Oryzias latipes: one gene and its partner. The protein of the gene in region 1 interacts with the protein of each later gene in a biochemical or structural test. Links are inferred from orthologs where the notes say so. Each region holds a gene or a part of one and is shown in the gene's direction. Other genes may lie near its edges. The genes, in order: ccnb1 and zc3hc1.

Region 1 (3,920 bases):
ATAACTTAAAAATGATCAGAGCTGTATTAGTTTTTCGTTGCAGCAGAAAATGATTGAGCTGCATGAAAACATTTAAAAATGTGTTGACAGCATGCATTTTGTGTGAAAGGCTTCAGCACTAGAAGGTGTTTTCAAATTAAAAGGAGAAAAAGAAAATCAATTTCAAACCTGCTGATCCTCTTTGAGGTCACTGGATCCTTTGGTGAAGGCTGTACACACTCCAGATGGGTTACCAGTCCATTGCAGGGCCACACAGTCACAGACATTGTGAATCATCAATTAACCTAAATATGTTTGCACATGCCTGAGTGCCAGGATAAAACCCACACATGCTTGGGGTAAACTTGTAAACTTGACTCAGAAAAGACCCGGCTGGGATGTGAGCCAGGCCCTACTGAGGCAAAAGAACAAATCACTACACCACTGTTCTACTTTAGTAGCGAATACAGGACTAATGAGCTTTTTTGTAAAAAGAAAAAGATATATATATATGCATTCTTTTGCACGGAGGGATTCAAACATGTTTTAACATAAAAAATGACAATAAACTGAGAAAATCATTAAGTGTCAGAATAAAATCATTTTTAGGGCAACATTCAATTCTATTAGCAATAAGTGGTAGACTTTGAGTTTATTTGATTAAGTATAACTGAGCATAACAAGTATAGCCGGTATACACATGTAGTGTAGGGAATATACTAACTGAATACATCTATAGACTAAATTGGAACATTTTAAGTTTACTATATATACATTTATCTTCTTCCGTTTTGTACCTTTTGGGGTCACAGGGCTGCCGAAGCCTTTCCACATGTTACGGGCAAAGGCAGGGGACACCCTGGACAGGTCGCCAGCCCAGTCTGTCTAAGTTTAAAATATATAGATATAAAAAGTAAACTTCAAGTCCACTGCCTCACTTTTAGCCTACTTGAAGTGCATTTAAGGATACTAAATTTTGTTAACCCTTAACAGATTTTGTACTTTCTACTATACATACATCCAACCTATAGCAGCATGCTTGGTAAAATGATGCTCAAGTATACTTAAAAAATAAGCTTCAGTGTACTGTTTGTTTTTGTAAAGGATTGTTTTTGAGATCCTCTTGATTCTTCTTCTTTTTGTTTTGCGTTAAAAAAGTGTTTTCCTTGTTTAGATGCAAACAATAAAGTAGTGTATGTTTTTATCTACAAATGTTTTTATTTTAATAGCTCTAGAAGAACGGAGTTAGATATCCGGGTAAGGGAAGTGACCTAAGAAGAGCGTGATCACGTGACCCAAAGTTGTCTTGGGAGCGCATCTGACACGTACTCGTTTATCCAATCAGAATCGCCGCAGCCGCCCAGCGCAGCCAATCGGTTTGCAGCGAGCGAGGATTTAAACCACGACTCGTGCGTTGGAATCTTCACCTTCTCCGCTTCAATTTCGTGGTTGTTTGTGGAAGAGAAGCAGGCAAAGGCATGGCTCTGAGAGTTACCAGGGTAAGTCTGAACCACGTTACACGTTCCTCTCTGTTTTTACCGGAAAAGAACGATTTCAGGAAGCGCGTCTTTCTCTGGTTTTAAATGTTTTGACGTGTTTTCTGACTGGACTGTCATGTGGCTGTATGTGAGCGGAAGCTAGAGGTCAAATATTGTTGGCTTGAATTTATTGAACGTGCTGCTTCACCACTGCAGGTTTATCTCGAGCGCGCCTTGTTTTGTCCGTTTTCTCGCTGCAGAACCGACTGGCCTCCACCCGGGCCGAACTGGGCGGAAAGACGTGCTCGGTGGCCGGGCCTACACAGAAGCCCCGCGCGGCCCTCGGAGAAATCGGAAACGTCGCAGTTATTAACAAAGATGTCACGAAAAAGGTAAAATCTTTTTTTTTTTTTTTTAAAAATCCTATATAAATGTATTTTCCACTTATCGAAGTAAAGTGATTAACCTTTTTTTGGGGCAAGTTTGGTGTAGAAGTGAGGGGTTGGGCCTGTTCTGATGAGAAAATGTCTACTGTGCTGAACTGGGGCCCTTAGTCAAGTATAAAATGCATCCCAGGTTGGAGGAGCACAGTTAACCTGGAACTATGTCTAAGAATGTACACCATCAATTGTAAATTTAAATCTTTGCTAAAAAAACAACAACTTGAGTTTGAATGCACATTTGTTAAGAGAAACTCTTGTTACTGCTGTACTATCAGCTCAATGCGCAGAGCTTCAAAACCTGTACAGCTAGGACTTGTGGCTTTGGCCTGCAGCTGTAGAGATTTCCCAAACTGTGCAAGAAGCAAAGAACTCAAATGAAAAGATCCCAGCTCTGTAAAATGCATAGCAGTATTTGGGTTTGACCTTTCTTTCTTCAGACTATCAAGACGGAGGTTGCTAAGAAGACAAAGATCCCAGCTAAAGCTGAGAAGATCGAGCTACCAAAAGCTGCTGTGGTCCCTGTTAAACCAGCACCTGAAGTGCAGGTGACTGAGGTGAGTTGGTGTCATTGGTTGTCACACACCTGGTTGGGACATTTGTCCTGCGTGGTTGACCCATCCTCTGGGGGCAGCAGTGAGCTCCAGGCATGGTTGTGCTTCGGAGCCATATGGTGGGTTAACCACTCCCAATCCAACCCCTTACAGACCCACTCTGATTGTGGCCTCTTTCTTATAAAAGATTCATCTAAAGAAAATGAGATTGAAATTTCATTTCTGATTACTTTATTCAAATGTTGTGAATTGAGAAAAAAAATGCTGTTTGTTTGGATAAGGGCTTATTTGTGAGGTAGAAAATCCCACCGGCAGGTCACCAGCTCCCTTCTGATGTGTCCACTTGAATCAAGCAGGGAGGCTTTGGTTCCATCCGAAGTCTTTGCTGTGACTCCACTGGTTTTGAACCCTCTGCCTACCAGTCTTGGGGCAGACGCTCTACCACTAGGGTGACGTGTAATGATTTGACATGACCTTCTCACAGGTGCCAGCCCAGGCTGAACGTGCATCCCCCACCCCCATGGAGACCTCTGGATGTGAGTCTGCTGACCTCTGTCAAGCATTTTCAGATGTCATCCTCAACACGGCCATCAGGGACGTGGATGCAGATGACTACGACAACCCCATGCTCTGCAGTGAATATGTTAAGGACATCTACAAGTACCTCCGTCAGCTTGAGGTCGGACTAAAACCCGGAAAGCTGCATTCCTGATGTGTGCCGTTTCCCTAAAGAGACGTTTGTTCTCCTGTAGATGGAGCAGAGCGTAAAGCCAAACTACCTTGAGGGTCAGGAGATCACCGGAAACATGCGAGCCATCCTCATTGACTGGCTGGTACAAGTGGGCCTCAAGTTCCGTCTGCTGCAGGAGACCATGTACATGACTGTGGGAATAATCGACCGCTTTCTTCAGGTGAGTCTGTCAGTGTTCCTCTACAGACTAGATGTGCTCCATAATTCAATAAAAAAAAATAATTTCATAACAGATGTCCTCTAACTGACTTGTGTGCTGAGATTTTTCTTTTATTTTGTCTGCGGTCCTTTCAACAGGACCATCCAGTCCCCAAGAAGCAGCTGCAGCTGGTTGGCGTGACCGCCATGTTCCTGGCCTCCAAATACGAGGAGATGTACCCTCCGGAGATCTCAGACTTTGCCTACGTGACGGACAGGGCTTACACCACTGCTCAGATCAGAGACATGGAAATGACTATTCTGCGAGTGCTGAAGTTTCAGCTGGGCCGCCCCCTCCCGCTGCAGTTCCTCAGAAGGGCCTCCAAGATCTATGAGGTGTGGCGCGGTGTCGGTGCGGCAAACTGTTCTCTTCCACCACTGCATGTGCTGAGGTGAAGGTGGGATTTTATTTTTCTTCAGGTAACTGCTGAACAACACACCCTGGCCAAATACCTGCTGGAGCTCTCCATGGTTGACTACGACATGGCTCATTTCCCGCCCTCATTGGTGGCGAGTGCAG
Region 2 (3,920 bases), on another chromosome or scaffold:
TGATAGCATCGTTGCTAATGTTATGAACCGACCTGCTAGCAGCCCTTCGTGCGGCGGCCTGCCAATCAGTCTCTCGAATTTATTCAGCTGATCTGAACAGTGAAACCTTTCGGCGTCCGACATCGTGTCCCCTTCACAACCCTGTCCTCTTCGATGTCACGTCGAATATAAAACACGTCTGCCAAAACGCTGCTGAAACATTTCACATCTCAGGCAGGTTTGAAGCCATTCACTGTTTTTCTTTCCACCCCGGCAGTGACACACTTGACCAATCGCTGAGCTTGTTACCAGGACGTTGCGTCTTCAGGAAAACGGAACTGCCGCCATATTTTATTTTATTTTATTTTATTTTATTTTATTTTATTTTATTTTATTTTATTTTATTTTATTTTATTTTATTTTATTTTATTTTATTTTATTTTATTTTATTTTATTGAATGTAGACGTAAACTTATAATTTAAAAATATGTATAAAAAATGAAGAAATATAAAAATGCAAATACAATTATTAAATTAATTTGTAGTAAATTAATCAAATTAGAAATAATTTAATGTTTTTACTGAATAAAAACATTTAATTTATTTAGCATATATTATTTTAATAAATTCATACATAAATGTAAACATATATAGTGTTTGAATTTAAACACTCACACTTTAAATTGCAAACACTCACACTAAGTCTTTAAATGTAAACACTAAATTTAAATTTTAATACTCAAACGTCGTTACATTTAAATTAGATCTAAATTTAAATTAGTTTTATTTTGGTTTTGTTCAACAGTGAGTCACAATTTTAGCGTATTGTGAAAGTTCTGGTAGCTTTTGCTGACAATGTGATCTATGTTCTACAAAAATCATCCACATAAAACGTACCTGTATAATATCATTTATACGTCGTTGAAATATCTAGCGGTCAACTGCATATGACAAAGATTTTACACCAAAAATGTCCTGTTTGTTTACTGCGTTTGTGGCTCTGGTGAAGCGGAACAACTTTTTTCCGGGATGTGTTTCTCTGGGGATTTTTGTCAGAGCCGACCATGGCGAATATCGGCGGCAGTCGCGGGGACCGTCTCGGCAATTCTAACCACCTAAAGTCTTCTTTTGCATCTCCGGAAAAAGTTCGTGAACTCCTCAGCGAAGGAGTATCATTACCGGAGATTGGGTCCAACAGGTGGCGTTTTAAACTACCAGTTTATTTTTTTTTTTGGAAAAATCTAAGTTGACGGTAGCTGACTGGGTTAGCCACGTCTTAGCTTAGCATCTCACCTCGAACGTATTCATAGTTTTGCTGGAGGGGTTTTTCAAGTCTGCACAGAGCTGAGAGTTTGACAAACGAGCCCGAGTTTCTGTACTCATACGGTTGCAATGATGTGGATTAAATAAATTATTCAAAAATGTGTTTTTATAGCCTTATGCTGCAGCTGTTGTTAGCCGGGGTCCAGCAGTTAGTTTGCAGTTATGTATGTATGCTAAAAATAACCACAAGAATCACAGCAACTATTTCCGTCTAGCAAATTGATCAGAAAACATTGTGTACAAAATGGTCCATTGGATATTTTGTGTTTTGTAAAAAGGACTTATGTTTTATGTCTTGTTTCAGTGAACAAGGGGACTTAAAAGTTCTGGAAGTTAAAGACAACACTCAAACACCGTGTGAAGCAACAAACAAAGAAGCATTTTTCTCAAGAGTGGAATCCTATTCTATATCCTTCCTTCATATTATATATTTATTAATGGACAACGTTTATTTTTTGTTTTAAATACATATATACATTGCTTCCATGTGATTTGTTAAAATGCACCGTTTTTTAAACATAATCAAAATACACATTTGTAATTGCTAACACAAGCTGCCTATTATTTAGGGTCCTCTTTTCCTTAATATGTCACTGTTTGAGATGGGCAGGCAAACCCCGTGCACTTTCTCCTCTGATGTGTGCCAGATATGGTTGGATCAATGTTGGTTGTGACATGCTGAAGTGCTCCAGCTGCCAGGCTTTCCTTTGTGCATCACTACAACCAACGTTAGACTTTAAGAAATGTAAGCTCAAACTTGAAGCAATATGGCGACGGTAATGGTGCTGGCCTGCCAAAATGAGATGTCAAGCTGTTCTGTTCTTTTAAATAGATGAAAGCCGCATTGCAGAGATATTGAGACAACTACAGACTCAGCATGAGAAGTTTTGTCCTTGGCCTGACTTTCCATGTCCAGGTAGAAGCAACCATTTTGTCTGGAGCAAACTTACAACAAACATACAATCCACTACTCCGTCTGTTTATTAACCATCAGCATGATGGTCGTAATAAATATAAGTATTTCTGTTTATCCAGAGAGATTCTGGCTTGTTCCAGCCTCTGAACCGTCAACGCTGCTTGCTGCCTTTTTGGAACGTTTCCAGAGTGCCTGTCTCCTTGCTCAGCAGCTGCCAGCCATGAGGCCAGAGCAGCTGAAGTCTATGGTAAAGGGCTTTATTTAAAGAACACTTGTGCCAGCTTAAATTTCAGAAGGACTTAGATAAAAACATCAATTATTATCAAGGGAATGTGATATCATTAAGGGTTCATTAAAGAAATTGCTTTATTAACATATGAACTATTTTTAACAAGACAATAACAGCTATTATTTGTGGTCTTTTTTCCCCCCAGTCTTTGACAGAGGATGTCATCAGTAATATACTGCAACTGATTGAGGAAGAGCTAAAAATAAAGGGATGCAGTCCATGCTCTGAACCATTGTCTGTTCAGGTGGCTGCATGCGTCGTTTCTCTTTGTGGTTGGGCAGCAAGGTGAGAGTTGTTTCAGTAAAAAAGGTGCATTTCTAAAACACAAGGTTATTTGGTGGAATTTGGGTCCAAAATTAAATTTCTTTCATCTTAGTCCAGCTTTACGTGCCATGAACCTGCCAATCCTGACCTGCTCCTATTGCATGCGGAAGGTGGGTTTGTGGAATTTCCACCAGATGGAAGAAATCGGAGGTGAGGCAGAGACGGTACCAAGCTCTGCAGGACCCTCTGCTCATGGAACAGGTTCTGTCTTAGGGGGCTGCAGCGACAGCCAGGCAGACCCTGCCTCGTCCACTCATGCGGCATCTCCATGCCGCATGAAGCTGAGGAGCCAGGACTCCATACGCTCCGACCAGGCAAGCATTCTTGTGTTTGTTGCTCTGTGGTAAGGTTGAGGCTTTTCTATGCCACATTTGCTTCAGTAGACATGACCCTCTTCTCCCGTTTGGAGAAGGATTTTCACAAACTCACTGTTGATGGTGTAGGAAGTGATTACAGAAATTCTACCCTCATTGTCATCTCTAGTTTATTAGAGGATATAATGTAAAGAGCCACAATGAACTGCCTCCCACCATACCAAAACCCTTTTGATCCTTCAACTCCTTTTTATCAGACTTTTTCATATTTTTGTTTTCTGTTGCAGGTTGAGGGGACCTCCTCCTCCCCCACTGCATTACGAGCCAAAAGCAGAGACTCACCCAGCCCCAGTGATGACTTGCTAAGTCCTCTGACGAGGGGCAAGAGGCCTGCAACTCGAAGTCGAGGACATGGAGATAATTCGGGGGCCGACGGCTCCACCAGCCTCCATCCTCCCAAACGCTTGTGCTTCTCAACAGTTGGTGGTCCTGTAAGAACAATCATTACTTCTTAGTTCCTGTCTTGCTTTTGATTTGGATGCTTCATAGTCTTTTTCTATGGTGAATCAGCATTTGTAAGATTTTTGAATTTCAAGATGTTTACTTTAAATGATGAGTTTTAACATGTGACATTTCTCTCTTTCAGGATGGGCCTCTGCATAAGGGCACATTTGACCCTCTTTCTCAGCACAGGGACTGGTGTCCTTGGATCTCTGCAGGACAGGAGAACGTGGATCCAGATCATGCCTCTGTTTTGGATGGAGGAGTAGCGTTG

What was found.
Region 2: of the proteins of ccnb1 (region 1) and zc3hc1, one has a biochemical effect on the other in vitro, tested with the Homo sapiens proteins (3 studies listed by BioGRID, with this or other methods). The link is inferred for Oryzias latipes from reciprocal best matches to the Homo sapiens genes CCNB1 and ZC3HC1.

What each region holds. Positions count from the first base shown.
Region 1 is NC_019870.2:25,679,363-25,683,282, forward strand, and holds the start of ccnb1 (G2/mitotic-specific cyclin-B1), read left to right. Parts: upstream 1-1,369; 5' UTR 1,370-1,457; coding exon 1,458-1,478; intron 1,479-1,717; coding exon 1,718-1,849; intron 1,850-2,337; coding exon 2,338-2,454; intron 2,455-2,935; coding exon 2,936-3,130; intron 3,131-3,203; coding exon 3,204-3,362; intron 3,363-3,499; coding exon 3,500-3,736; coding exon of another isoform or gene 3,737-3,796; exon of another isoform or gene 3,797-3,820; coding exon 3,821-3,920. UniProt on the Homo sapiens protein: Essential for the control of the cell cycle at the G2/M (mitosis) transition.
Region 2 is NC_019881.2:14,718,927-14,722,846, forward strand, and holds the start of zc3hc1 (nuclear-interacting partner of ALK), read left to right. Parts: upstream 1-1,017; 5' UTR 1,018-1,043; coding exon 1,044-1,177; intron 1,178-1,606; coding exon 1,607-1,709; intron 1,710-1,896; coding exon 1,897-2,047; intron 2,048-2,134; coding exon 2,135-2,218; intron 2,219-2,337; coding exon 2,338-2,465; intron 2,466-2,652; coding exon 2,653-2,792; intron 2,793-2,883; coding exon 2,884-3,145; intron 3,146-3,432; coding exon 3,433-3,636; intron 3,637-3,791; coding exon 3,792-3,920. Other genes in the region: klhdc10 (kelch domain-containing protein 10), read right to left, coding at 33-123. UniProt on the Homo sapiens protein: Required for proper positioning of a substantial amount of TPR at the nuclear basket (NB) through interaction with TPR.